2 linked regions of the Notamacropus eugenii genome follow. The protein of the gene in region 1 interacts with the protein of each later gene in a pairwise test. Links are inferred from orthologs where the notes say so. Each region holds a gene or a part of one and is shown in the gene's direction. Other genes may lie near its edges.

Region 1 (14,430 bases):
TGTAGTCCTCTGTGATTCTGATTGCTGTTTTGTGCTGTATTATCTGTCTTTTCCTATTCTCTTGCAGTTTTTTTTCTTTGACCTGGAAACTCTGGAGTTTTACAGTCACATTTCAGTGTGTGTAGAATTGAAAGTTTCTTCGGGAAATGATGTTTGGATTCTGTTTTCACCTTGCACTCAAGAGTGTTCTAGAAATTCTGGCCAATTCTTTTCTGAATTCTTGAAATGTTGTATCCAGGTCTTTTGTTTCGTTATTTTTTTCTGAGGGTCTGATAATTCTTATTGTTTCATGGCTTGTGTCCCAGATCACTAATATTTCATCATACATCCCATCTTCCAGTTTTTTTTTCCTGTCTTTTGACTTGGGTCAGGTATTTCTTCTATCACTTTTAATTTTTACTTGTGTTTCCTCCATTCTTTTTCCAAGTTGTTCATGTGGTTAGGGTATTTATAGCTTTTGTCCCAAGCTCTTTATTATCCTTAGCAGGAGCTCTAATTTCATATCTATCTTTCTTCATCCTCATAGGAGGGCTTCCAACCACTCTCAGAACTGATGTAGGTAATTTTTTTGTTGTTGTTGAATAAAATTTTTACAAAATGAAATTCTGTTATTTTTATTTTCTAGGTTTCTACTTGTAGTTGTTGCAGGGTTATCCTGGGATTCCTTCAGTATGTTAGTAGTTTTCCTGTTTGCTCATTTCCTTAGTCTCCCTGCTTTAACATTTTCTTTTTTTGCTTCTTTCTCTCCTCCATTGCCCACAGCAGAATCTTAACTTCTAAACTTTCTCTTGTTCAGGATTGTCGTGTTCAGATTGAATTACCACCAAGCCACAGACTCCTCTAAGGCTAGTTTACAAAAGACTACAAAACTTCTAAGCCTTTCACACCTGCTGGAGCCACACCCATATTGAGCCCAAAGGTGGTAATCATCACATTCAGAGGCATCTTATTGCCAGATGAAGCCTCCACCCTGCAGCAAGGAGTCTCACACCCTCAGCTCAACTTTAACTCTCAGCTAAGGGTGAAGAGTCAGAGAAACTGTGGCTGACAGGGTGCCCCCTTGGCAAGTTTTTTCCCCATCACAGTTACTTATGAGAGTTCCTTTTTGTTATTCTCTCTTAGTTACTGATCTACTTTATTTGGCATTTTAAAAAATGTTTTTGAGTTATCAATAAGATAGAGCATTTATTAAGGACTTCCTATGTGCCAGGTACTGTGCTAAGCATACGAGATAAAAGTATAACCAAATGAGACTGTTCCTACCTTCAAGGTAGGAACTTTTAATGAGGGAAGACAAGTCATAAAGGGAAGCTAGAAAGCAGGGATTTGAAGGTATAAGGATTTTGGTGGGGAGGTGAAGTGTGGGGAGTAAGTCAAGCTGGGAGAGAACTGAATTCCCTCCTGAAATGTCATTCTGAACTAGGGAGGGCAGGCCCCAAGGTCTCAGGATTTCCAGGTGGAAAGGCTACTGGCAAAGAGGTAGAGAAGTGGCTGGTCTTGCTGAAAACTTTTACTCTAATTTTTACCTGACTTCTCCATACTTTTTCCTCTGGGTTTTTCTGACCTTGTTCTGTTGGGCATTCTAAGTTTCTCCTTTCCTAAAAAACACTCATTTCTTTACTGGAAAGATTACAGTGTGTCTGCTTGTACTGATGTTATAATTGGCTCCTGATAATCACTTTGAAATTAGTATTACCTAGAAATCTGTTGAATAATGTTCAAATTATCTGTTTCTGTGTCTTTGTGATTGATAGAATTTATATTTTGTCTATGCTACTAAGAATATTTGTTTTTGTTTTTAGCGTCTTAAAGACTTTTATTCATGATCCTCTTGTGGAGTGGAGTAAACCAGTAAAAGGGAGTTCAAAAGCACAACTGAATGAAACAGGGGAAGTTGTCAACGAAAAGGTTAGAAGATATAACTTATGGAGATTGATAATCTTTTGTATGTACATAACACATTACACTTTACAAAATGCTTTCACTTGTATCATTTCATTTGATCCTCACAGCTCTATGAGATAGGAAATGAATTTTTGTTGTCATTGTTTAGTCATTTCCTGTATGTCCAACTCTTCATGACCCCATTTGGGATTTTCTTGGCAAAGATACTAGAGTGATTTGCCTTTTCCTTCTCCATTCCATTGTACAGGTGAGGAGCTGAGGCAAACAGGGTTAAGTGACTTGCCCAGGGTCACACAGCTAGTAAGTTTCTAAGGCCAGATTTGAACTCAGGAAGATGAGTCTGATGAGGGCTGGAGGGGGAAGGGGGGTTTACAGGAACTCCAGAACTGGAATTCTCTGCTGTGCGCTGCCTGGAGAAGAATTCACGGACTCAAGCATTGTTGAGGTCAAGGTAATTAATTATGCTTTTCAGCGGGCAAGAGTTCTTAGGGAACCTGCAACTTTAGAGGGGTACAGGTAATAGGATATTCAATAGGCCAGATATACTAAGTGGGTGATTCAGGGTGGGATTAGGGAGTGGCTAAGGAGTGGTTAGTTCTTAAAGGAACATGCACTTTTGGTATCTGCTGCACAGGTATTTTACCCAGAATTCATTGGGAAATAGCCCAAGGCAGGGGCTACCTGGAGGTGTAGTTTTAGGCCTGAAAGGAAACTAAGTTAACTAATGGTCAGGGATGACCAAGAAATTACAGGGTATTCTCATCAACGTCTTGTTAGACAAGATAAATGTAAGAGAGTATACGTATGGCTATGTCTAGGATACATATGATTGGTCAGTGGGTAGTAAAAGTAAATGTCATTATGACCCAGTGCACAGCCAGCTCAGCCAGTACACAGCTGGTTCAGACTAATAAGTTCTGTAGGTGCAGCTGGCTGCTATAGCAAGGAGATAACAGTTGTTGCTGGGGCAGGCTGTGTCCTTGGGCTGGGGAGAAACTGACTGGGATAGTTTTGAGGCTAGGGAGAAATAGGATTTTTTAAGAGAAATGTGATTTTAGAATTGGGATCTAAGCACAGGCATCCAAGCACCCCATCAAGTCTTCCTGACTCCAGCCTAACTAAGCATTCTATCCACTATGCCACTTTGCTGTGTATACACTTTTTACTAATGAAGAAACTGAGGATCTGAACAGTTATAATACTTCCCCCAGGGTCACAAAGGTACTAGGTGAAAAAGGAGTACTTGAACTCAGGTAGTCTGGCTGCTAGTTCAGCATTCTTTCCCCTATACCAGACTACCTCCCTTATAGGCTTCAGTAATCATGAACTATAAGTACATTTTAACTTGATTACCTTATCAAAGTCACATAACCTCAGTTAAAGTCTCACCTAGAACACCTTAACTACCCTCAGCAAGCCACTTAACGTGTGCTTCAGTCTTCATTTTTACAGTAATATCATAATAATGATGACTAGCATCTCTTTAGCATTCAAGGTTTGCAAGCACCTCCCAGACACTCTCATTTTGTTCTCGCAGCACCCCTGTACAAAGTAGGTGCTGATTACTCCTGTTTTGCAGGTAAGAAAACTGAGGCAAAGATGAAATGACTTGTCCAGAGGCACACGGCTTTGATTTCCTCTTGTTATTCCAGCACTCTCTCCACTGTACCTTCTGCTAACAGTTTTCTTAATCTGGGATAACACGGCATTACATTCCTCACGTAGGGATTGTGACAAGAGCATATTGCAAACCTCAGAGCACCGTATAAATGGGAGAAGCCACTATTCTGTTCTTTGGTATTGTTAAGTTTGTGAATGCTGCATATACTGACTTCTGTCATGATTGCTGATTATATCATTAGCATTTATGTAGCCAAAAAAGTTGCAGACACAAATTAAACTAGACAGCTCATAGTTGTTTAAAATGATGAATGAAAAACTTGACCAAAAATTTCCCAAGCTCATGGAAAGTTGAAAAGAATATGCAAATTAGATTCCATATGGCCATGACCCTGGGTCAGTTTGTCACTGCTTCCTATCTGTTCTCCCTACTTCTAGTGCCTCCTCATTTCAATACATCCTCCATGTGGTTCCCAGATTAACATTTCAGATTATGAATTTAACAATCACTAACAAATTGACATTTCAAATTACAAATTTAACAATCATCAAACATTTCAATATACAAAGAAAAACAAAAAGACTATATATGAAATTATGAGCTTTTACATAATGCAAAATGTTTGTATAATAAAATTAACAAAGCAGTAGCAAAATTTTTGTTTATCCCCTTCAGAACTTTATATTCTTTATCATTTCATACAAGTCTTCCCAGATTTCTCTCAATCAGTCATTTGTCATTTCATAAAGTGCAGCAATATTCTATTGCACGTTTATACCAGTTTCCTCCTCTGTTCCTTCACTGATGGGTGTCTTATTTCTAAAACAAGCAAAAAAAATGTTACTATAAATACTCGCATACATTTAGGTCCTTTCTTTTGAAGTCTTTGACTTCCTCGGGGTATATGCTTAATAGTAGACCAAAGAGTACAGTTTCATAACTTCCAAGTTGATATTTCTTCTGACCATGTCACTTCCCTGCTCATAGGATAATATACAAACTCTTTAGCCTACCTACCATTTAAAGCTTTCCACACTCAAAGTGTAACCTACCCTTCCAAACTTAGCGTATATCATTCCCCTTCATGCCCTCTACCTCCTTGTCAAACATGCCTACTAGTTGCTCCACAAACTTGTTATTTCATCTTTGGTCTCCATGCCTACAGACAGGCTCTCTCTCCTGCCCAGGATGCTCTCCTTCCTAAAATCTCCATTACTTGAAAGTTTAACCCAGGTGCCATGTTCCACACAAAGCTTTGTCTCATATCCCCCAGTTGTTAGTACTCTTTTCTTCCTCAAAGTGCCTTTTATTACTTATCGGTATACATGTTATCTCCTGAGTAGAATGTAAATTATTTTATGGCAAAGACTTTCATTTTTGTATTCATATCCTCACATTAGCACCTAATAAATGGTGACTGAAAGGATATAATGAAGTTTCCACTTAAATTTTTAACTGAGTTTTAAACATGAAAGAATTCTTTAAAACTGTATATTTAGCACAATGGAAAACAAAATTAATTTCTATAAGATGATAATATGAAGGACAGATAGGACTTGATGTTTTAATAGTCTAGGAAAATGTCCACTTCATTGGGTTGCTGTAGCCTTTTAAGACTCAAAATCCAAAGTTAAAGTCACCTGACTTTTAAAGTCAGATCTCTGGGCTGGAAAGAAAGTTCCACAGATAGCACTGTTGTCACAGCGAACATGAGTCTTCTTGTCTGGAACCTCCATCTCTTCTGAAACCCTCCACCCTCTTTATGTGCCAGGGTTCTCTGTACCTTCTTTTCATGTTAACTTGTCACAAGAAGAATCGAAATCCCCAGAGTTAAAGCTTCGTATACACTCAAGCTTTATATAAGACAGTATGATATACTGGTCACAGGGAGGCATTTAATAATTGTTGAATGAAAGTTTTGTCAAAGCACCATTTGTCTCTCAATAAACAGGTTCTTCATTCCTTCACCGAACTGCCACCATCCCTTATTTCTTAGAAAGTTATCTTGAACATCTTATTTAATGAATGGGCTTTTGGAAGTGTGGGGAGTTCATGCACGTCCCAATCTGTAGTTTTTCACATCTCCCCAAACAGTCTAGAAAGTAGCATTAAATCAGAGTTGGATACATGAGGTAGAAATTAAAGCTCCCAGATTCAGTTATCTATTCTATGCTGAAGACTCACAATCTATTTATGTAGCTCTGACCGTTTTGGTGTGACCTGCAGTCTTGCATTTCCAACGGCCTATTTGACATCATAAGCTGGATATCTGTCCTGTAGACATCTTAAACTAAACATGTCCAAAATTTTAATTTACTATCTTCCCTCTAAGTCCACTTCTTTCCTAACTTCCTTATTATTGTTGAGGGCAGTGCTGTCTTTTTAGTCACTGAGGTTTAAAATGTAGGTGTCATCCTCCAATCTCTTGTGCCTCGTTTTCTTTGACCCTTCCACCACCCTGGTACAGACCTTCCCCACCTTATTATTATACTATTGCAATAGTTGGATGGTGGGTCTGCCTGCTTCAAGTCTCTCCCCATTCCCTTTTATCCTCCACTCAGCTGACAGTTATCTTCCTAAAGTGCAAAGTGGACCATGTCATCTCCCCCACCCTTGCTCACTTCCCATCCATTACTTTTGGGATCAAAAAAAGTCCTGTTTGGCCCTTCATAATCTGCCCCACCCCCACCCCCCCACTTCATTCAGTGACACTGTTTCTTTTCTGTTCCTCACAGAAGACACAGAAGTCCATCACTTGGCTCTGGGCATTTTTTGTCTTGTCCCCCATGCGCGGCATCCTCTCCCTATTCATCTTCATCTTCTGACTTCCTTCAAAGTCTCAGCCAAAATCTTACCTTCTACAAAAAGCCTTTCCCAATCCCTCTTAATTCCGGTGTCTTCTTTCTACTTCTTTCTAACATGTCCTCCATCCATGTGGCTTATTTGTACACAGTTGTTTGCAAGTCATGTTGCCTATCATTCTACTGTGAGCTCCTTGAAGCCAAGGACTGCCCTTTACCTTTTCTTCCTATCTCCAGTGGTTACAACATAGTTCTGTACACAGCTAGGTGCTTAATGAATGTTTACTGACTGAGTCCGAATCCATGCCCAAACCCTAAACTTCTGAAATGTATCTTCCTCTTTTTTCCTTTCTTGTCTACATTCCAGAAAAAGTGTTGGTCTCTGATATGACCAAAAATGGTTAAAACAAAGCAAAGAAGCTGAGGAATAGATTTGAGGAATTAAAAAATATAGTCATCCATACCTTAACGTGTAGACATTATTTCTGTTTTCTCATTTCTAGGCCAAGACTCATGTCCATGACATCGAGCAGCGCCTTCGAGGTGTAATCAAAGCTAGGAACAGAGTAACCGGGCTGCCTTTGTCCATTGAAGGACACGTGCACCACCTCATTCAAGAAGCAACTGACGAAAACCTGCTGTGCCAGATGTATCTTGGTTGGACTCCGTATTTATGAAATGGAGCTGTGGTTACGAGTTAACACCTTCTGCTTGGACTCCAAGGTGGTGTTATTACAGTGATTCAGTTCCGGATTGCCACCTGCATTCATTACTGTTCTAGATCACTTGCTATACTTTCTTCTCAGAAAATGTTATTTCAGTTGTTAAAGGACTACAAAAATAAAACTACACGTTCAGATGTAAATTTTTTTAGAAAAATATGTATTGTAACCACGTAAATAGCATTATCCCTGTATATACACAAGGGGGGAAGGCATCTGTCTAAAATGATACTGTAACAGTATTTCGAGTCTAACCTTGGCGTGAATACATTGGGCATGTTTCAGGTCTGTCCCAGACTTCCATATTCAGTAGAACCACCGTGTGATAACCGTGGGTTTGGGACTGGCATACGCGACAGTTCTTGAGTGCGTCGTGGTTTGTGTGGCATGCCCATGGCAAGTAAGGAACAGTGGGTATTTGCGGACCTGTGTGAACAAGGTTCTGAGAGATGTTCCCCACGGAAAATTCAAGTCGAAGATGGAGCGGCGGGCAGCACTGGCACGCGTTCCTCTAGCAGCCTCTTACAAACCTCACTCGATGGTCTTCGTGTATCTTTAAGTCACTTTTTTCCAGTGTTTAGCATGATTCACAAGCAACGGAAAAGTGAAATTACCAAAGAAGCCCCCGATCTGGAGTGAGCCACGTGGTTTACGTTCAGCCCAAACGGGAATCTTTTCAGAACTGCGCGCCTGCTGGCACCGTGGTGGATGGGGCACGTGCCCCGAGTTATGCCCATTGATGCCTCCATGCCCGGGGCCCCAAGTGCGTGTCATCGGGAAGACAGCTGGCCCGAGATGGGGTGGGGGGGGCACCGGCGCCTGCCGCCCTTGGGGCCAGCCTTGGCGGGGCACGAGACTTCACCCGTGCGCGCCCCCATCGCCGCCTTTAGGAAGCCCCGCCCTCAAGGGCTCTTAGCCCCCACGAGTCCCCGTCCTTTTAGGGCTTGGCCCTCAGCCAGTCTCCGCCTCTGCCCGGGCCGGGGGGCCGCCCGCAGAGGCTCGGGCGCGAGGCGGGGGGGAGGGGCGCGGACACGGCCTCTCTAGGCTCCCGGCGGGCGGCGGCGCGGCGTTCTCTATGGTCTGGGAGGGCGGGGCCTGTGTTGTCATCGGCGGCGCGACGGCGGAGGCGGCGGCCGAGGCCCGGGCGGGGGGTTTGGTTTCGGTTTGGCGGCGGCTGCTGGCAGGGTCGGTGACGGTCGACATGGGAGTCCCTAAGTTTTACCGCTGGATCTCAGAGCGCTATCCCTGCCTCAGCGAGGTGGTGAAGGAGCATCAGGTGTGTGTGGGGGCGGCGGCTCCCCCTCAGCCCGCGCCCGGCCTGGGGGGGGCGGAGCGGGGGGGCTTTGACGGGCGGCGCCGATCGCGCCGTCGGGGTCCGGGCCCCTTTGTTTCCGTTTGACTTTGGAGCTGCCGGACTTTGGCCCGGGCCGCGGAGGGCTCGGCCCCGAGGGTGTCCTGCTCGGGGCCCCGTCGGGGCGTGCGGGGGTTAGGGTTAGGGGGCAAAAGTCCGACTCGTCGCGTCCGAGGGAAGGGCCGGGGGAGGGGGCCACCAGGAGCCCTTCGTACCCGCTTCCCAGAGCCTTGTCTTCAGGAAGTGGGAGAGGGGCGGAGTCTTTAGTCTTCCTAATGGACCCGTCGGGTTGCGTCAGGCGCCGAGCGTCTGTTAAAGAGCCGGGGCAGGCCCGTGGGGGGCTCCGGGGCGGCCGAGTCGTTCCTGCCCCCGAGGAGCTTCCGTTCTCGGAGGGGGGGGGGGGGGGCGGCTGTGCCCAGAAGACCGGAGAGTGGGGGAAGGACATTGGCATCCCAGAGCCTCGGGGACTCTTGGTGGGGAAGGGCCCCTGCAGCCGAATTTGGAGAAAAGTAGCGCCCGCCGGAGGGATGGGGAGGGTCAGGCGGCAGGCGCTGCTGGTGGGCCGGGCTGTGCCACGGTGGGTGCGACAGGTGGAAACGAGGGATGGTGCCCGGGCCCCGGGAGGTATAGGGGAGCCCCGGAGTCTGTGGAGCCGGGGGAACGGCGCGAGCAGACTCCACTGACCGGAGTCAGGTCGACGTGTAAATTACGCACGACGCTAGAGAGGCGAAACCGGGCCAGTCCCTCCAGGAATCCCCATTCTGCTGGGGAGACCGCCCGCCAGCCGCCGTGCACGGGGAATACACGGGGAATACACGGGATCGAGTGCGGGCCGGCGCCGGCACATCCTAGGGCTTGGGGAAGACTTCTTGCGTAATATGGTGGAGCCTGAGGGAAGCCGGGGAGGACAGCATTCCAGGCAAGGGGGAAAGCTAGTGAAAAGGAGCCGCGGAGAGGTGGAAGGCAGCTCGCTCCGGGAACAGCGGGGAGGCCGGTAGCGCTGCGTCGTGGAGTACGCCGCGGGAGTGGAGAGGGAGCGGAGGGCCGGCCTGCGCGGGGCGCGGAGGGCCGGCCGGGGGAGGGCCAGGCTGCGCGGGGCGCGGACGGCCGGCCGGGGGAGGGCCAGCCTGCGCGGGGGCCGGCCGGGGGAGGGCCAGGCTGCGCGGGGGCTCGGACGGCCGGGGGAGGGCCAGCCTGCGCGGGGCGCGGACGGCCGGCCGGGGGAGGGCCGGCCTGCGCGGGGGCTCGGAGGGCCGGCCGGGGGAGGGCCGGCCTGCGCGGGGGCTCGGAGGGCCGGCCTGCGCGGGGCGCGGAGGGCCGGCCGGGGGAGGGCCAGGCTGCGCGGGGCGCGGACGGCCGGCCGGGGGAGGGCCAGCCTGCGCGGGGGCCGGCCGGGGGAGGGCCAGCCTGCGCGGGGCTTTAAAAACCAGACAGCTGTGTGGGGGCTAAATTGGAGAGAGGAGAACAGCAGGGAGGCCAATTAGGACTTGATTATAGTAGTCTGCAGTTGCCTGTTGATTGGGGAATAACTAAACAAATTGTGATATATAAATAGAATATGATAGCACCATAGTGCAATAACATGAAGAATTCAGAGACATGGGAAGTCTCATATGAACAGATGCAGAGCAAAGGAAGCAGAACTGAAAGGATATTCACACCACGATGACATAAACAAAGACTACAATAAAGGCTTATATAATTTCGGTCAAATATAATCGTCTGTATAAGTTCCAGATGCTGGAGTTAAAACACACTTCTTTTTCTGTTAAGAAATGGTGTACTGCTAGCATAGAAAGTTACTTGTGGTGTCAGCTACAATTGATACAGTGAATGGTTTTGTTTACCATTTTTAAGAGGAGGTTCTACGGAGAATTTTAAGTTTGAAGGGACCTCAGAGACCATGTAGTCTAATTTAACCGGTACCCTACTATTGGATGGGTATATTTGGGGGTGAGGGAGACGAAAAATAAAACTTAAACCTCTCTCTTCTGACTTCTCAGCTAGTGGTCTTTGTTTCCATCAGATTTCCCCATTTAATTGCTGAATTTCTGAATTGTTGACTGTTTCTTCATTAGTAAAATGAAGAGGTTGAGCTCTCTGGTTTCCAAAGTTGTTTATACCTCTGAAGCCTATTATGTCTTTAAAGCACACTGTTAACGGATTTTTACTGACTCAGTCTCCAAATGCTTAGAGCTGCCTAGAGACAGGCATGCCAGCAATCAAGTAGTAGTTTAATTAATTAATTTCCAAGTGACAAATATTCTCTAAACTGAAGTAAAAGCACAGGTTATATACATCACAGGTGGGGAAAGGGGGGGGAAGGTGGATCACAAACAGTCCTTTAATGGTTTCCCACAAGAAATCCTTTGATACAACAATTCTAGAGTCAAGTCTTTTGGGGTCATGATCACTTCCCCTAGGGAGGGAACAGGTTCTACAAGTCTTAATTCGATTCACTTAAGACCTGGTGATTGTGAGCATTGTCAAAGGTTTGATTGATCAGTTCAAGCTGAATTGTGAGCTCTGACTCCCAAGCCAGAGAAGCGCCTCTTGAGAAAACTAAGTAATTAGTGTATTCATTACACATCTCAATTAATATTAAAATCATAACTTCCTTCTCAACACTCATGTCATTGTTTCTAGGAATACATTATATATAGGTTTCAACACATTGAATAATATTGCAATAATTTCTATCTAGGTTATTCAATGTAGTAGGTGTTATAAAGCCTATTACCAATGTGACTATGCAGAAGTAATGGCAGAAAAGATATCTTCAAGGACAGATATGATGAGTAAAGGAATGTCACCAGTCATGTAGCAGCCCAGGAGTTACACTCATATCCATGAAATGACAAAACATCTGTTAAGGATTTACAAAAGGATGTGCATGAGAATCTCACAGCATAAGAAGTTACGAAAGAGACCTGCATTAGTGAAAGAAGTGCTTCCGTTTCTGAGATCATTAAGCAAGTGAAGGATTAATAAAGCGGTGAACTAAAAATCCCAGAGCCAGGATCTTCAGGTAGAATCATAGAATGTTATCCCTAGAAGGGACATATTAAGATCTAGTCCAACCCCTCAGGTTTCATATGAGGGAAATGATGTTTAGCGGTGGGTAAGTAGCTTGCTAAAAGTAAGTTCAATTCAACAAGCATTTATTGAGCACTTTTTCTACGTTTCTGACACTGTTTCAGGCACTGGGAATAAAAGATAAAATGAAGTAATCCCTTTCTCAAGGACCTTATGTTCTTTTGGAAGACGTAATATATACACAGATAAGTAACTATAGAATGTTAAAAGTAAATACAAAGTAATTTGGTGGAGGAAGAGATCATTTGACAAGGATCGAGACCTCCTTCTTGAAGAAATACAGGAATTCTAACAGAGATGGTCAGGGAAAGTATTTTGTGCAAGGTAACCAGGCACTGAGTCAGGAAATGGCAGGGAATGTGTAGGGAAACAAATCAGCCTGTTTAACTGGGACATAAGTGTGAAAGATGAATGATAAGAAATCAGTCTAGGGAGTTTGATTGGAACCAGATGTGAAGAACTTTAAATGCCAGGCAGGAGAGTTTGTACTGTACACAGCAGAGAGGGGCTGAAGCGTTTTGAGGAAGAAAGTGACATAGACCTGTGGGGTTTATTTTTGTTTGTTTTTTGGAGGGTTTCGATTTCTTTGACATAGGTCAATTAGCAATGAGGAAACTCCTACCAATGCAAAACTGAAACTGCTCCACAATTTATTGAGACACAGAGACTACATAACCTATCCTCAGTAAGAGAGCCTGTGTCAGAGACCAGACTTGAACCCAGGGCTTCCAGACCTCCAGACCAGGTCTCTATCAACCATGTCATCCTGCCTTTGGTGGTCAAACCTTAACTTAAGGGAAGGTAAACTAGCAAAGGGAAAAAAATATGGACCTAAACTTTAGTGGAGATTATGTGAGAGGAGAAAAGGGAAAGGATACTAAGAAGTGATGGTGATTGAATCAAACAAGACTTGGAAAGTGATTGAATTTGGGGAAGGAGGGAATGACTGAGCTGGAAAAGTATGGTGACTGAAAAACTGGTGATACTCCTCACAGAAATCTGTGAGTTGGTTTGTGTGGAAAGACAAAAGAATTCATTTTGGGGCATAGTGAGTTTGATGTTCTAGAGTCCTTCAATAAGATTTTCCGGGTTTTTTGTTGTAGTGGTGATGATGGTAATTTTTCCTCTGAATGCTAAAATAGAGATTGCATTTCTGGCAGTAGCTTGTCACCTGAATCAGATTCAACATTTATTAAGCACTCACTATGTACATGCTAGGTACAAAAATAGGATGGGGGAAATAATGCTGTCCCTGTTCTCTAGAAGCCCTTCAATCTAATTGGGAGAATATGGCGCGCGCACACACACACACACACGAATGTGACAAGGAAGGACAATTCAATTCAGCAAACATTTATCAAGTGCCTACTGTATGCTCACTCTTATTCTAAGCTCAGCCAGAAATAGAAAGTTTAAATAAGATATGGTCCCTATCTTGGTAGAGCTTATGGACTAATACACTATATGTGTACTGTTTTTTAAAGTTTCATTAAAAACTTAACATGAAATGTCAATACAACCAACTAACCTTATTTCGTAACTGTATTGAAATAATTTTGTTACCTATCACATTTTTCAGTCACTCCCCCAAAGTCCTGTCAAGACTTCTTGTCCAGTCATTTTCATTCACTTTTCTCTTCTGTAGTCAAATTTCTGGTTCTGCTTTCCACCCTCTCTCCAGTACCCCAGCACCCCCATCTTGGAGGAGAGAGGGAGAAGGAAAGTTAGGGATGAGGGAAGACTTTGGGAAGATGGCTTCTGAGCAGGCTCTTGAAGAAAGAGAAGGATTTCAGCAGGCTGAAAGGAGAAGCATATGCTCCAGGGAGAAAATGCACCGGAACAGGAAGAGTCTCCTGCTGTTCCCTACATGCCATGTGCCTGGGGTGGTCACTTGTACTTCTTCCAATCCCAGCTTTTCTCCAAAATGGATAGAGCTCCATGCCTGAAGTCAGGAAGTTTCATCTTCCGGAGTTCAAATGTGGCCTCAGACCCCGTGTAATACTGAACAAGGCTAACTCAAAGCCTCCTCCTGCCCAAGGCTTTTCTGCTGCCACTTCTCCCATCCTGGTGTGCTTAGGGCCCCCATTCCTCCTCCCCGCGCCCCTCTGTTACTTTGTGTTTTCTTTATATTCATTTTCCTGTGTATTTACTGTTTGCTCACCTTGGAACCAAACCATCAGCCAGCATGAAGTGCTTCCTCTTAAGCTTAGGCACATTGCGACATGCTGGAGATAGGGCAATATGCTACAGATAGGTACACAGAGAATGAAACAGTCCCCACTTCCAAGGAATCCAGGCTTAGTCGAGGGAGACAATAAATGAAGGAAGTACATTGATCAGTAAATTTTGGGGATCAGACCAGATCTATTTCATTGGAATTATGTAATTCCTCCTGTGTGGGAATTTACTCCACCATTTTATACCTGCTCTGTAGCTTTAGAGAATTGCTTAGGGTGTTGAGTGACTGGCCTAGCTCCTAAGGCCAGCATGTATCACAGATATGACTTGAATCCATAGTTTTCTGACTCTGAGACCAGCTCTTTATCCACTATTTCAAGCTGCCTCTTAGTAAATAGAAAGAGAATAACTACAAAGCAGGAAGGGGGAGGGGGGCATTCACATTGTGGGGATCAGGCAAATTTGCACGTAGAAGGTGATGCATGAGTTGCAGAGGCAGGTTCTATGAGGCAAAGGGGAGAGAGCCAGTTCCAAAGTTGAGAGGTGGCGTACCTGGTATGAAGAACAGAATGGAAGCTCCTTTAGGCCCAGGGCTTTTCTTTTGTTTTTGTCTCCCTGTGCCTGATAACAATGTCTGACAAATAGTAGGCCCTTAATCAAGTAATAAAAGATTCAGAGCCTCCTAAGCCAAAGGAACATGTACGCAAGATGCATTCTGGGTGTTCAGCTGAGACATTGAACTGCCAGAGAGGAACA
Region 2 (14,965 bases), on another chromosome or scaffold:
CTCTGGCTGGACCTCGGTTTCCCTGTCCCGGGATCTTTGTTTCTGAGTCCTTGTCCTCTGCCTGCGACTGTCTCTGACTGGGTCTCCGAGTTTGACTTTCTCTGCTCCGACTTCTGTCACTGCCGCGAACTGTCTCTGGCAGGATCTTTCGTTCTCTCCCCCTAGCCAGTTCTGTCTCTGGATGTAGCTAAGGCTCTTGCTGCCTTTGCCAGGGGGGTATCTCGAGCCCTGGATCTCTGTTCTCCCTCTGACTGGATCACTCCTCTCCCCGCCCCTTCTATCTCCTTTCACCAGGAAAATTGGGACAAGGATAAGTAAGGAGGAGCTCTAGGGTGAAAGCCTGGGTCCCTGAGAGGGGAAGGAAGGGGAGGGGGAGGGGAAGGGCTCTTGGGTCCTAGCCAGACCAGCTTTGCTGACACAGCTCCTGACTCACCCCAGGCTCCCAAGAGGAGGGAGGAAATCCCCCAGTTATATAATCACAGCTACCGCACCCCCAGTGCATATACCTGATCTTGGGCTAACCCTGGACACTCTGATTTTCCAGAGTAGGAGCCAAAGGCTGGATGCTTGAATAGGGAATGGAGGAGGGCCTGAGGGGATCCCTGAGGCAGAAGAGGATCACAGTTGGGGAAAGGAGGGTACTTCTGCTGGGGTTTCTAAGAAGGACCTCTATAAGAGGTCCTGAAACCCAGCTTCCTTGTGATCTTGGGCAGACTTGCACTTTCCTCCTCAGTCTTCAGTTTTCTCTTGTCTAATGAGAGGGTCTTGGCCTAAATGACGTCTTACATTCCTTTTAGGTCCCATGATTCCAGGACCCTGAAAAGGGAAGGGCGTCCCAGACTGGGGTGAGGGGGTGGGGAGGAGGCTTCAGTGAGAACATGCAAGGAAAAGGGAGCTGTGACGCCAGTCTCAAGTCAATCACCCTAACTTCCCTCCCTGCCTGCTGCTGGGGAAGGACCAGGAAGTGGGGACCGGGACCCAGGGAGGGTAGGCAGGGATTATGGATTTAGCCTTCCTCATCTTTACATTTCTCTTCATGCTGACCCTTCAGGCTGTCTGAGACACCTGAGAGTGGGGGGAGAGTTTCGGGCCCCTCATCTTCCTCCTCCCCTTGGGCTTGCCTGCCTGCGTCATCAGCTGATTGTGCAAGGGGGGGGTGGGGCCTGGACACCAGGGTCCAGAGTATTTTTAGCCCCAAAGGAGAAGTGAGAAGGGCGGAGCAGGTTCCTGCAACTGTGCTCTTGGTGGGTAGGGAGGGGAGGTGGCCTGACCTAGCCTCTCCGGGAACATCTGGGATCCAGCTGTGGTCAGCCCCTAGGGGAGGGTCCATGCCCTTCTGCCAGGCCTGGGAAATTCCTCTGGCCCCTTAGCCAGGGGTGGGGAAGACACCCAGACTAGGACACTTTGTCCTTTCCCCCTGCCTGTGGGGGGGAACACATTCAGTCATGAGGCAGAGATGTCACTGGGCACCATCAGAAGCCCTCAAAGGCAGGCAGACCCAAAGGGTCTTGGGCTGACACACAAACCATCCCCTCCTCCTCCCAGTACAATCCCGTGGGGGCACACACACATAATCTCATCTGAAAGCTACAGTGAGACACAATCTGTCACCTTGCCCTGTGTGTTCCTGAGTTGTCTGACACGCTTAGAAGGCTGCGATCCGATCATCAGTCACTCTCTTTTCTCTCTCCCTTCTCTCTCTCTCTGTTTCCATCTCTGTGTCTGTGTCTGTCTGTCTCTTTCTCAATCTCTCATTCTCTCAGGCCTTGGCGGTTTCCGGTCCTGGCCTCCCTCTCCCATGTTGTTCTGGAAACTCTGCCCACCTTCTGGGCCGGAAGCTTGATGATATTTTTAGATCTGCCAATTTCCGCCCCCTTCCCCTCCCCCTTCCCCATCCCAGAGGCCGTGGCCCCCAGTCCCACCCTTTCCCCAATCTCGTTCCAGAGGGGATTCCCAACAATGGTGACTGCCAGACTTCCCAAAATCGGGATTTTCCCTCTCACAGCTCCAAACACCTAACTTCCTGGCCTAGGAAGCAGAGGCTACCTGGGGTTTTAAGTATTCACAGGCCAGAGGAAGCCAATGTGGCTGAGGAGACTATGAGCCAACTCAAGTCAACAACAAACATCTACTATGTGCCTAGCACTGTGCCAAGTGAAGAGACAAAAAGCTTTTAATCGTAGATTCCACAAAGAAGGTGAGGATGCTCCCAATTCAAACATTAAGTGCTTACTGTATACACATTTCTATGCTGAAAACATCAGGACTGTCTTGAGGTAGAATGTGAGAGGAGGGGCCCCTCATAAGAAAGGGAAGGAATTTCAGGAGATATTGGGAAGGTGAGTAGATCTGATCTGGCCCCAAAGGCTAGGGGGTAGGAGGTTGTAAGGTCATCTGAGGGGTTAGAGGTCAGAGATCTGGTACTCTTAGCTGTCAGAGGTTGGGAAGGAGGGGAAAGGACTCCTGGAACCCAGAGATTTGGGAAACTTTGGAGCCAGGAACTAGTTATAGGCTATGGAATTTAAGGGGGTCAGAGGGTTGTGATGACCTAAATTTGGAAGGAGAGTGAAAACCTGAATCCTTGAGGGGAGATGGAGTTGGGGGAGTTAGAGGTCTGGGACCCTGGAGGAGTATATTTCTGCAAGACTCAAAAGGAGGGATGCTAGAAGAAATTTTTTCAAATGTCCATTTTATGTAAGGCTTGATGCTAAGCACTAGAAATATACTGATTTAAACTGATTGTAAAAAGGTAGAGAGGCCTGAGACCTAAGGGCGTAGATGCCAGGCTGGTGACCTGGTACTCCAAGGAGTCGGGCTAGATGGCTAAACAGCTAGGCCTCTGAGATCATAGATTTAGAGCAGGAAGGCATCTTAGAAATTAAGAGAGACACCCCCCTTTCCCTTTATAGAAAAAGAAGTAGGTCTAGTGAGGCTCCTGGACTTGCTTGGGTTCACCCAGCTAACAAGTGTGTGAGGGACAATTTCAATCTAGGTCTTCCTAACTACATGCTCAGTTACTTAGCCTGTATACCAAGTTCCCAAAATCTTTGAAATTATTATTGAATTTTTTTGTTTGGGGGGGGGGGGCTGGAGGATCCCTGGTTCCCTGAGGACACTAGTGAGGGAGTGAAAACTGTGGTCTTTGATTGAGACCAATTCAGTGGGGTTCATAGACTCTCCCTCTCCACTCTACCTCTAAAGCTGGGCCTAGACCCAGGAGCCTTGGTTCTGAGGCATGGTGAGGTAACACTCTGGTTTAGGGGGTGGAGCATGGGGAGCTCAGAGAGTCGTCAGGGAATGAGTCAGGAAGCTGGAATGTACCCACAAGCTCAGATCCCAAGAGAAAGACAAACCAATTCCCCTTAGGATGAGTGAAAAGTGGGGAAGGGTCTTGGGGAAGGACTTTCTTTCTGGGAACCTCTGAAGTGGGGAGAAGAGAGCATTCCATCTTCCCTATCAGGTGGCAGTGACCTTGTCTCTGGGTCCCAGTTTCACTTGTTTTGAGCTGAAATCAAGGCCCAGATCTGAAGAGCATGCTGAAAACTGAGGTTCCTCAGCTCTCTGTTTACAAGGAGAGAGGAACCCCAGCATCGGATCAGCTCCCCCCCCCCTCCCCTTACGTCACCTGATTCCAGGAAGGGCCCCCACACATACACACCCTGCGGTGGGTGAGTCACTGGGGAGCGTGAGAGCCAGCCACTATGCGCAGGTGAAAATTGGAGACCACAGGCTCACGGGACCCAAGGGAGACTTGGGGAGGTCCCAGCTCCTGGGAAGGTCCCTCCTGACCATCCCTCCCCTCCCCAGAGAAGCTTCCCACAAGTTCTAATCCTCACAGAAGTCTTCATTCTGGAAAATGAGCACTTGAAGGAGAAGCCTTCACTTGGGAAAATGAAGATTTCTGTTATTTTAAATGTGTTCGAGTCAGAGAAAAGCCCCAACACAGGCCTAGAATCAGACAGTTCTCCAACTAAGAGGCCATCTCCCCCAAAATCTGACTTTAGTGACTCGAGAAAATTTCTAAGAATGGTAGACATTGTCTCAAGAAACCTGACTTTGCCCAGTTCCCTTAGGAATTTGAGACAAATCCCTGCCCCTCTCTGTGCCTCAATTTCCACTTCTGGAAAATCTACCACTCATGATCTCCCAGCTTTCTCTTCTGGTTGTATTCTCTGGGGTTAGAGAATTTGTAAACTGGCGGCTTCTCCCCTTCTGAGTCTCTCTGTCCCTTGACATCTGGCTTTCAGGTCTTTAGTGCTTGACTGTATCTACTCTTGTGTCTGTCATTTCTGCCTCTGGCTCTGGCTCTGGGACCTTAATGGTGTTTCCAGTTCCTGACCTTCAGCTTCCCACATAGGTAAAAGGAGGGGCTTGGATCTGGGAAAGATCTTTTCAGGTCCTTTCTGGGTCTGTTTCCCCGTCTGAAAAATGAGGGGGGATTAGACTGGAAGACGATTGAGTTTCCTTCTAGGTCTTAAATCCTAGGAGTTGTGATCCAGTGACTGGGGGACCTCTAAGGGCCAGCTTTTCGCCCAGAGTAAGGTGCTGGGCCTCCCCCGCCCCGCCCGGGGGCACTCAGTCCGGGAATCGCTCCTCCCCCGAATCCTCCCTAGTCCCCGCCCTTTCCCGGTCCCCCCGCCTCCTCTGTCTCTAGCTTCTGGAGCTCCCCATGGGTGGGTCCTGGGCGGCACCAAGAGGCCCCTCCCCCAAAAGCAGTCCTTCAAGAGTAGCGCGCTGGCCACCCTCCCCACAGTCCTGGTTACGCGCAGAGCCAGAGCATCCGCAGGGATGGACGGAAGCGCCGTTGCAGGCGGGAAGCCCAAGTCCGCCGGCTTGGAACTATGCGCTCTCTACGAGGTGAGCTGCCCCCTCCCTCTCGCCCTACCCCTGCCTGCCCCCTCACCTCTCTGGAACCAGCGGACCCAGGTGTCGGCCGCCTCTGCCTGAGGTCTGGTTGGGAGGGCCGTGGCGCTGACGGCCAACGTTTCCCCTTTCGCTCAGCACTTCTGGGCACTGGGGTGCCACGGGGCTTTCTTGAGTGCAGATAGCTTGGCAGACTCGGAAATTGGAGTTCCCTCTGGGATCCGAGAAGGGTCCCTCTAGGATAGGGAACCCAAGTCTTGGAAGGGAGGTGAGGCTGCTTCCTCAGGGCATATGTGTGTGTGTGCGCCGGGGGTGTCTTGGGAGTAGTAACTGGGGTTCTTTAAGTTGGGGGGTTACTGGGGGAAACTTAATGATTCTAGTTTCTGAGCTGCCTTAGGGTGGAGTCAGTAGGGGCAAAGAGACCGGGAGACTGACGCCTGGGTCCTGGCCCTCACCCCCCCCCTTTTTAGGGTGGGGCTGAGTTTGGGGGAGTTCTCTAGAGCCTAGACCAACGCTTTAGTTCCCGGGCACTATCCAGGGGTCAGAAGTGCAGTTGGGTGGGGTTGCTCTGCTCTGCACGGCTCAGCGACCTTAGGTCCGACCGTCGATCCCACCCTGATCCTTCTCCCTCCTAACAGAAACTCCTGTCCCTGAGCCCGGAGCTGGCTTCGGCGGCTCGCGGAGAACTGGACCCCGACCTAGGCTGGGGCTCTCGAAGCCCCTGGAGTCCAAGCCTCGCAGATCTGGAGCCACCTTCACCCCCGCGGGCCCCGGCCTCTCTGGGTCCCCGGCTCCCAGGCCGTTCTACTAGCTTGGTGGAGGGCCGCGCCTGGGTGCCCCCGCCGCCGGGCTTTGAGCCCCTGCCGCCCAGAGCCGTGCCAGCCGTCAGCACCGCGCCCTCGGAAGTTGGTTCCACGTCCCCGGTCGGGGCAGCCTCCTCGTCCAGATACAAGACGGAACTTTGCCGGACCTTCTCGGAGAGTGGCAAATGCCGCTACGGCTCCAAGTGCCAGTTCGCCCACGGGCCTGGAGAGCTGCGGCCAGCCAGCCGCCACCCCAAATACAAGACGGAGCTGTGCCGCAAATTCTTAGCCATGGGCGCTTGCCCCTATGGAAACCGTTGCCATTTCATCCACTCTCCACACGAAATTCTGTCTGTGGTGTCGGGTCACCCGCCCCTCCTCCGCCAGAGTGTCAGCTTCTCTGGGATCCCCTCTTCTCGACGCCGGGGCTCTCCCACCCTGAGCCCTCCAGGTCTGCCGGACCTGCCTTCCCCCTCGGGCTTCTTCTCCCCTCCTTCCTCTCCGCCCCCACTGCCCACCGCCCCCGGGGAGGTCCCTTTCTCACCCTCTGCCTTCTCTGCTGCCCCTGGTCCAGTGCCCCGGGAAGCCACGGTGGGAGAAACCTGCTGTCCCTCCTGCCGCCAGACCACGGGAACATGGGGACCCACAAGGGATGCCCTGAGCCTGGGGCTGGGGCTGGGGCTGGCCCGAAGCCCTTCTGCTCACTCCCTGGGCTCTGAGCCAGATGACCAGGCCAGCAGTGGGGGAAGCAGCCTGGGGGGGTCTGACTCCCCAGTGTTTGAGGTAGCAGTGGGGGGCGCTTTTGCCCCCTCTAACTCACACCTCCTGGCCCTGACTCCTCCCCGGCGGCTCCCCATCTTTAACCGGCTCTCTGTGTCTGACTGAACACCCCTGTTACTCCAAACTTAACTGAGTAGGAGATCAGGAAGTTCCTCTCCCCCATTGCCAGCTGTGCCCAGATGTGGAGGTGCCTCATCTGCTTAGCCCCCAGAGCATTCACCCATTGCCTAGTCTCCCGGGGCAGGTCCCTATGGCGAGCAAAAACTCTCAAAGAGGTGTTCTGGGGGTGGGTTTTTAATGTAGCATACTGAATCGACATATGTGTGTATACATACATACATATGTACATATATGTGTATATATACCTACATATATGTATGTGTGTATATATTACAGTGTGTCCCCAAAGTCTTAATTCAGTTGTAAGCATTACTAGGTTAAAACTGTACTGTCTTTGAGACACCCTGTTAAGAGGGGGGTCAGAATAAGAGATACCCCCCCTTTCTTCATGCTGTGAAAAGGCTTCCCCAAGTCTCCCCTGGATGGGGATCTCCCCAGCCCTGGTGCTCAAATCCTACCTAACCAGACCAAATCCAAGTCTCCCTGCCTCACCTGGGGCCCCTTATTTATGGTGACGACATTATTTATTCCTACGGGTTTTATAGTATTTATATATGCAGTCGTTTCCTCTCCCTTTTGTCTAATATTGGGAGGTTGCTGCCACTATAATATATATTTGAAAGGTTATTATATATGTGTGTATATATATATAGCTAAACAAAAAAGAAATCTCTCTATTTTTGTTTTTTGGTGGAGTTTGTTTTTTAATTAAAACTAATACAGTTCACAAAAGAGTAATCTTATGTGTGAAAGGCTGTCTTCTTGTCCGTCTCCTGAGGTTCAGGGGTGGGGAGGGCTGTCCTGAGACCTAGGGGGCCGGTCTAGCTGGTTCCTAACTCCTCTGGCCCCAGGCTAGGGCGGTTCCAGATGAACTCACCTAGGAAAGGAGGGCACCCCCTCACCTGAAGAGGTGGCCCAGGTGAGGTCACCAGGAAGGACTGGGGGTGGGGAAAGGGATTGACTACAATCTTAATAACAAGCTCAGAAAAGGTTGTCCGGGCTCGGCCTCCCTGCTCTGCTGGCTGGGTCCTGAGTCCCTCTCCACAACGCCCATTTCTTCTATCTTCCTCCGGGCTGATACCTGCCCTCCATACTTGCTGTTCCCATCCCTCAGCCTTGTCTGTATCTCTTTGTCAGTCTCTTGCTACAAGTTTCAAGGGGTTTCCACCTTCACCCCTCTTTCGTCTCTCATCCCAGCCTTATCTCTAGGGCTGGCGTGTCTGTCTTGGAGGGTCTCTCTGACTTGCCCTCCCTCCTGAGACTCTCAGAAGCGTCTCCTCGGGTGTCCGAGGGATCCCAAGAGGCTTCTCGGGGCCTTTGGGGAGTCCGTGCCTCTGTCCCTGCCCTCCCGGTGATTCAGGAACCTCGTGGTCACATGAAATACTGGTAAAGCGATGAACGAGCACAGCGCCCAGCACAGAGGCGCTTCATAAAGTCCCCTTTCCTGTAACTCTGGTCCTTCCCGGTCAGTCTGCGCCTCCGTCTACTTCCTGGTGTCGAAGCGGGGGTTCCTCCCTTCCCCGTCAGCCAGTAGACTCTGGTGGAGCGCCTGCGGCGTACGGGTCCTGCGCCAATAAAGGCTGGGCACAAAGGCAGACGGCACCTGCCCTCCGGGAGCTCCCAGTCTAACCCACCGACGGCGGGGGAGGGGGTGAAAGGGTGCGGGGTCTCTGCCCGTCCTCTTCGCTCTCCGAGGCCGTGGGTGGGGACGGGAAGTTTCCGTCTAGCTGGGGAAGGAGCATGGGGCGGGAGGGGGGATGGGGACGGAATGTGCCCCTGCCCAGGCTGGGCGGGAGGCTACGTGTCAGTGACGCAGGGGTGCGTGTGTTTGTGTGCGCTTGTGCCCCGGAAGCCCCGCCCCGACTCTGGGGAGGGGAGGGAAGAGAGGGGCCTCCGATGCCCGTATAAGGCCTGAAGGCCTCCCCGGGGGCGGGGCCTTGCGTCAAGGCCGCGGACCCCGCCCCTTCATCCGAGAGGCTCCATCGGGACCCTTCCCTGGGCCTCCTGTGACCTTCGGCCTCTTCTTCTGGGAAACCGGAGGGGGCGGGGGAGCGAGTCCCAGAAACGCTGGGGTCTAGAAAGAGCCCCGAGATCTGATACGAGGGGACCGAGTGACCCTCAGGGAGTCCATCACAAAGACCGTGGCTGCCCCCTCGCGGCCGCCGTGCGGAACGGCACCTCGTCCAGCCCGCAGGATCCCGGGAGCGCAGGAGCCCGAGGCTGCGAATTCACGCCTAGCCAGGACTCATAATTCTCTATTAAATTTCAAATATAAAGTGGGGGAAAAAGTCTGTGCTCCAGGTGAGGATCGAACTCACAACCTCGGCATCGCTACGGCCGCACTGCTGTATAAGTACCGCGCGCTAACCGATTGCGCCACTGGAGCTTCGGCGAAAGTCCCGCGGAGCGGGCCCCTTCAGGCTTATCCACGTGACCCTTCCTCTCCCGGTTCTCTTCCTTCTTCGTTCGTCTACTCGTTTCTTGCGCCTGCGTGACGTCACACGTGACGTCCCTTAGATTCCTCCCCAGAAACTTCTCCGCCGCTCTCTAGTGTTCAGCGGGCGCATGCGCACACCCAACCCCCGCCCACATCCCCATTGCCCACATTACAGCTCGCCCCTGCCCCCTGCCGGCCAATGAGAAAAACGCCCTTCTACACCCTGTCGCCACTGGCTGAAACAAACCTAGGACGGGGGTCGGGAGCAAGGAGTAGTGCTGGGATGTCCAGGTTTAGGGGACGGAATTGGGTGTTCGGGTGCCCTTCGTCCTGCGAGTTGACAAGTAAATGGGAGGTTAGGGTTGCCTGGAGGCAGGTTGCCCCTAGACCTGACTTAAACAGGGGCGCTTGGGATCCTTCTCCCTCCTTATCTGTGCGGTTGTCCCACATCCCCGAGAGTTGGGCACCCGCCACGTGGCGGCCCCGGGCACGATTTGGGATTTCGGACCTCTGAATCTGAAGGGAAAAAAACCACCGCAGAATTCTAGACTCTGATGCTCCGCCCCCGATCCTCTCCCCCCTCCTAATTACTTTGTATTATTTTTGAATAAGTGAGATGTTCTGGCAGTGATCTCGGCTCGGTCCCTTCACTAGAATGCAAACCCCTTCCGGGTGGAGACTGGAGCTGTTTGTGTCCCCTAACCCCTGGGTACTTAGCGATCGATTACCCACCCCAGGCTGAATGAATGGAATTAACGAGGGAGGGTTTTGTGTAAATTTCAGAGGTGAAAACGGAAACTTCTCTTTCCGCCCCGCGGCGGCTATCTGGAGACCTTGGCGGGTGCTCGGAATTGTTCCTGCCTTATCTCCGAAATTACTTTGTCCTTTCTTATCTAGTGACTTTTACTCACCTCCCTCCCCTGTGTAATCTCCCGGTGAGCCTGGATGATTTCCTATATTTTATAGGGTCAGATCTTTGTAGAACCAGCGCCTACCACAGTCGGTGGAAAGGTCAATACGCACGGGACACTAAGCTAAGGTTATAAAGGAAAGCAAAAAGTCCCGGTCCTCGAGAAGCTCACAATCTAACGGGGGAGATAGACAAGGAACCAACCAATGTACGCAAGGAAGCTCTAACCAGGATAACTAGGAAGTCACAAACAGGGAAAACTCTCGAATTTGGAGGAATTGGGGGATTCTTTAATCAGTCCATTATCTAGCTCTCAGGGAGCTCAACTGCCATCCTGATTTAGGGTTACGAAATAAATGCCAGGTGAGGGGGAAGGCAGGAAAGCATTAGCCACTAGGAATCTTGCTACGTAGAAAGCACAACTTTTGAGTTGTGAAGGAAACTAGGAATTATAAGATCCGAGAATGACAGCGCCCAGCCCGTAGTAGTTGCTTAATATCTTAAAGTTGGTGCTGGTCCTGATCCATAGGAAGCAAGCTGTCAACTGTACTAAAACTTAAATTCTTAGAAATCCTGGGTTCGAGCCCAGCCTCTTCCAAATAGGGGAAGGGTGATCCTGGACAAGTGCCCCCAGCAGCTATGGGAAGAAAGAAAAAGGAATCTTCGTAGAGGCTGACGGAGATGGATGAGACACAGAGACCCCTGGGAGATACAAAGAAACCAGTAGAGATGCTCTGGAGGGATCCAGCATGACGGACTGAGGCTCCAGAGGTTCCCCCCCCCCCCGCCCCCCACCCTCCGCTAGGCAAGCTCAGATCAGGTCTGTTCAGTGACTCAAGGCTGGGAACTGGGGATCGGAAGGGGGGAGTCCCAGGTCCCTCCTCCTCCAGTTCCCACGCTCTAGCCCCGGGAACCCCGGGCTACAAAAGGGAAGCTTTTCCAGCTGTTGGAGGGAGGAGGGAGCCTCTGGATCCTCCGCCTTCCAACCACTGCACCTCCAGTCCAGTCTGGGGCTGCCCTACAGCCCGAGAAAGGGGGCGGGTGAAGGGGCCTAACTGGCCCCCTCCTGGCTGGACTTGGCCCAAGCTGGGGTAGTGGGCGAGGTGGTGAATATTCATGAGGCATGTTAACCCCCAGTGGTCTGGCTAGGTTTAACCCCACCCTCTCCCGAGTCCCCTGCAGGCGGGAACAGGATGTCTGGGCGGGAGGGGGCGGGGATGGAGAGGAGGGGGCGGGGAGGAGCCAAGCCCCCCTGCCTGCCTGCCTGCCCGCCTGCCTCGTCCCCTCCTCCCGGCCCACAGCTGGAGCCGGCCCCCCTCCCCAGATGTGGCGCCGCCGCCGCCCCCCGGCCGGGCCCGGCCCAGCGCCCAGGGACTGACCGACCCACGGAGGGAGACAGACAGACAGACAGACAGACTAACGGCTGGCCGTCAGCCTCCCCGCGGTCCTGCCCCTGCCCTGGAGTGTTCCCTCCTAGCCCGCTCGGACCTCCGGCCAAAGTCGGCCCGCCTGGGCCCCTCGGCTGTCCCCGGGACGGACACTCCGGCCCCCTCGGGTGGCCCCGCTCCGACTCCCCTTTCGGACACGCGCTGCCGGCTGCTGCAAGCCCCGGTCCCGCAGGGGTTCCGGGGTCTTGGGCCCCGCCAGCTCCCCTGGAAGAAGGTGAGATCTGGGGGGCGGCAGGGGGGAGGTGGCTGGAGGAGGCGGGGGAGGCGTAAAGGGGAAGCGGAGGGAAGCGGGGGAGGGGCGGCTCCTGCCCGGGAACAATGAACAGGGGGCGAGCTGGCGGGCGGGGAGGGGGCGGGGCCGGCGCCGGACCCAGGAGAGCCCGGTTCCCCCTTCCTCCCGGGCCCCCTTCCTCCTCGGCCCCCTCCTTCTCCTCTCCTCCCAGAACCAAGGGATGGCTTGGAAGTCGGCTCGATCCCTGGGTCCCCTGGGTGGACGTGGGGACTAGACTTCCCTAGTGCCTCCTCTTAGATTCAGAATCCACACCGACATCCCTGCCCCCCCACCCCAAGCCAAGATCGGGGACCTTTGTGCAGATCCAGAGCCCAGACACATTCCTCTCTGTCCAGATATAGGCTTCTCCAGTGTTCTGGCTCTTAGAACTGATCCCTGGGGATCTTGGAGGGGGCAGACATAGGAAGTCCCTTAAATCGTGTCTTGATTCCAACAAGAAAGGAATGGTCTATTCATCAGGGCTTGAGTCTGGCTCCATTCTCTGCTCAAAGGTAATAATATGGCTGGGGTACAGCCGAAGTTTATGGTTGGGGGCTTGTGTTCACTTCTCAGAATCCAGAAACACACCAAAGGAGACAAGAATCAGAGAGATAGGGACTGAAAGAAAGACAGAGGGATGGAAAGAGGGAGGCTCAGCTGGGACCCTGGCATCTTGCCTTACAGCCTCCTCTTTTCCTTTTCCCTGGGGACCCTCCAAGGCTCCCGCCCCCGCAGCTTTTCCCAGCCCCTCCCCCCAGACACACACTGCCTGCCCCCCCTCTTTTCCTCTCTCCTCTCTGGCCCCCTCTCCCTTCCCCTCCCCTCCTCTCTCCCTTCCCTTCTCCTGTCTGATCATGAGGCAATTTATTTTCTCCTTCAAAGGACAGCAGAATAGAAAATAGAAATCTTACTGTCTATCTCTGTCTATTTCATTTTCCCTTTCTTTCCCTATCACAATCTCTCCTTCTTTCTCTCAGTCTCTTTCTCTCAGGGTCTTTCTCTTTTCCCTTTCTTCTGCCCAATTGATTCCTCCCCTTCCAAAGGCCCATCAGCTCCTCACTCCACTCCCAGAGAGACCTTGATGAGGAGGGGAGTGTGTATGTATGTGTCTCTCTGTGTCCCTAAACCTGTGTGTGTTTCTACTCATCTCTGCCCTAACCTTCTAACCATCTTATTCCTCTCACTTTCTTCAAATGTCAGTGGCCTCTCTCCTTTCTGCTGCCCCCAGGACAGTGCTTTGAGATCTGCCAGCCATGCCTGAGGGAGCTCACCGTCTTACCAAACCCAGCCCTACCCCAAGCCCTGGGTGTAGCCACCGAGGTGAGAGGAGTGGACAGATTATGGCAAGCATGTTTGTGTACCAGATGATGGTGCAAGGGGGATTGTTTGAAGGGGAGTGTGTCAGATGACCCTGGAAACCTGCTGAGTCTGACCTGGTCATTTCTTTCAACAGAACTTCCCCCAACTCTGCCCATGGCCTCCCCCCGAGGATCTGGAAGTTCTACATCTCTGAGTACTGTGGGCTCTGAGGGGGAGCCTCATCCAGGCCCCAGCCCAGGCCCCAGCTCCAGTCAGGCCTGTTCTGTGCCAGCCCTGGAGCCCCCACCAGGTCCCCCCATCCGACTGCACCTGACTCCCGTGGGGCCTAGAGGGGAGCCAGGGCAAGGGACCAAGAAGCCCTCACACTTGGAACGTGTGGTCCGGGAGATTGTGGAGACAGAGCGGGCTTATGTGCGGGACCTTAGGAGCATTGTGGAGGTGAGGGGGGATCCTTCCTCAGACTCCCCAAATGGAAGACCATCCGGGTCCTCCAGAAAACTCTTCTCTCCTTTAATTCTCCCAGAAGCCCTCTTGGGCCCATACCTTGTGCTTTCAGCCCCCTCCAGTTCCTACCCCAGCTATCAACCTGGCTTAGGGGTAGGGGTATTGGAGACCTGGGTTTCTTCCGTTCAGGACTACCTGGGATGTCTGGTGGCTAATGGCCCACCTGGGCTGAATTCAGAACATCTTGGGACCCTCTTCTCCAACATCGAAGACATCTATGAGTTTAGCAGGTCAGAAGAGACCCAAATGTCTAGGAATTGTGGGGCACACTGCCAGGAAAAAACCACTCTCATCCACTTAGACTCTCATTAGAGTTGGTCTCTGGACAGAACTCCTCTTTTAGCTTATGGGGATCATGTTACACTGTAACCCATTGTCCCTTAACAATGACATGAAGCTAGATAACATACTAGGGCTGCTCCATTTTACAGATGAGAAAACAGGCTCAAAGACATGAATTGATTTGCTCAGGGTCATACAGCTACTAAGTGTCTGAGGAAGTATTTGAACCCAGGCCTTTCTGACTTCAATTCCAGCACTCTAAATACCATGCTAGGGGGAGAAGGACAATCAGGGCCTCTATAAATGACCTTCCCATAAGATCCCTTCTTCCCAGGAGTTAATATCAGCTCCAAGAACTGAATTCCTGGACTCTGGATCTGGGGGGAGCTGGTATAATTGCCACTTGATTCAGGGGTGACAATATGTCTGCCTGGGTCTTGGTTCTGAGGCATGGGTATAATGACTCTTGAATATGGGGGTGCAGAGATCTCAGAGATTTGGGAGAGGACAAAGGGACCTCCCTTCAAAATGGGGGACCTTTTCTCACAACCTGGGGGTTCCTGTTGTGACCCGGACCTCCCCTGTCCCCACTCCCTGCCCTACAGCGAGCTCCTAGAAGACTTGGAGAATAGCAGTAGTGCCCATGGCATCGCTGATTGCTTTGTTCAAAGGGTAAGCAATGGTTAGATGCTAGCAATACACACTCATTGGGAGTCGGGGACCAAGAGGAAAGGCAGGTCCCCAGAACCCTGGGAGGGGGTAATCCTGAGAACAGAGGAAGGGGATTGAGAAGGGGCTGGGATTCCAGATCTGTGTGTGTGTGTGTGTGTGTGTGTGTGTGTGTGTGTGTGTGTGTGTGCGTGTGTGTATGTGTGTGGCATTTGTGTAAGGTGGGAGAAGGCAGCCAGCTAGGGTCCCTGCTGACCACACTCATTGCCTACAGAGTGAAGAGTTTGACATCTATACGCTCTACTGTATGAACTACCCAAGGTGAGTCCATTTTCTCTTCCCCTCTAGCTCCTCTTGGAGCCCCTTGGCCTCTAAATGCCATCATTTTTCCTTTCCTGACCCTGTATGACATTTGAGAGTGGCTGTTGAAAAGCCAATGCCCTCTGTGATCTAGCCTCCCAATCATTCCCTCCAGAATCCCATCATCCTTTGTAACTCCTGTGACTTCTGCCCCTCCCTAGCTCTATGGCCTTGCTTCGGGACCTATCCCTCTCCCCT

The links.
Region 2: the proteins of XRN1 (region 1) and ZFP36 interact in a two-hybrid assay, tested with the Homo sapiens proteins (2 studies listed by BioGRID). The link is inferred for Notamacropus eugenii from reciprocal best matches to the Homo sapiens genes XRN1 and ZFP36.

What each region holds. Positions count from the first base shown.
Region 1 is NC_092877.1:330,607,580-330,622,009, reverse strand, and holds the start of XRN1 (5'-3' exoribonuclease 1), read left to right. Parts: upstream 1-8,124; coding exon 8,125-8,325; intron 8,326-14,430. Other genes in the region: serine/threonine-protein kinase ATR, read left to right, coding at 1,803-1,908, 6,831-7,004. UniProt on the Homo sapiens protein: Major 5'-3' exoribonuclease involved in mRNA decay. Required for the 5'-3'-processing of the G4 tetraplex-containing DNA and RNA substrates. The kinetic of hydrolysis is faster for G4 RNA tetraplex than for G4 DNA tetraplex and monomeric RNA tetraplex.
Region 2 is NC_092876.1:32,194,463-32,209,427, forward strand, and holds ZFP36 (mRNA decay activator protein ZFP36), read left to right. Parts: upstream 1-4,672; 5' UTR 4,673-4,788; coding exon 4,789-4,857; intron 4,858-5,501; coding exon 5,502-6,551; 3' UTR 6,552-7,304; downstream 7,305-14,965. Other genes in the region: PLEKHG2 (pleckstrin homology domain-containing family G member 2), read left to right, coding at 12,886-12,952, 13,086-13,390, 13,586-13,686, 14,344-14,410, 14,682-14,728, 14,929-14,965. UniProt on the Homo sapiens protein: Zinc-finger RNA-binding protein that destabilizes several cytoplasmic AU-rich element (ARE)-containing mRNA transcripts by promoting their poly(A) tail removal or deadenylation, and hence provide a mechanism for attenuating protein synthesis.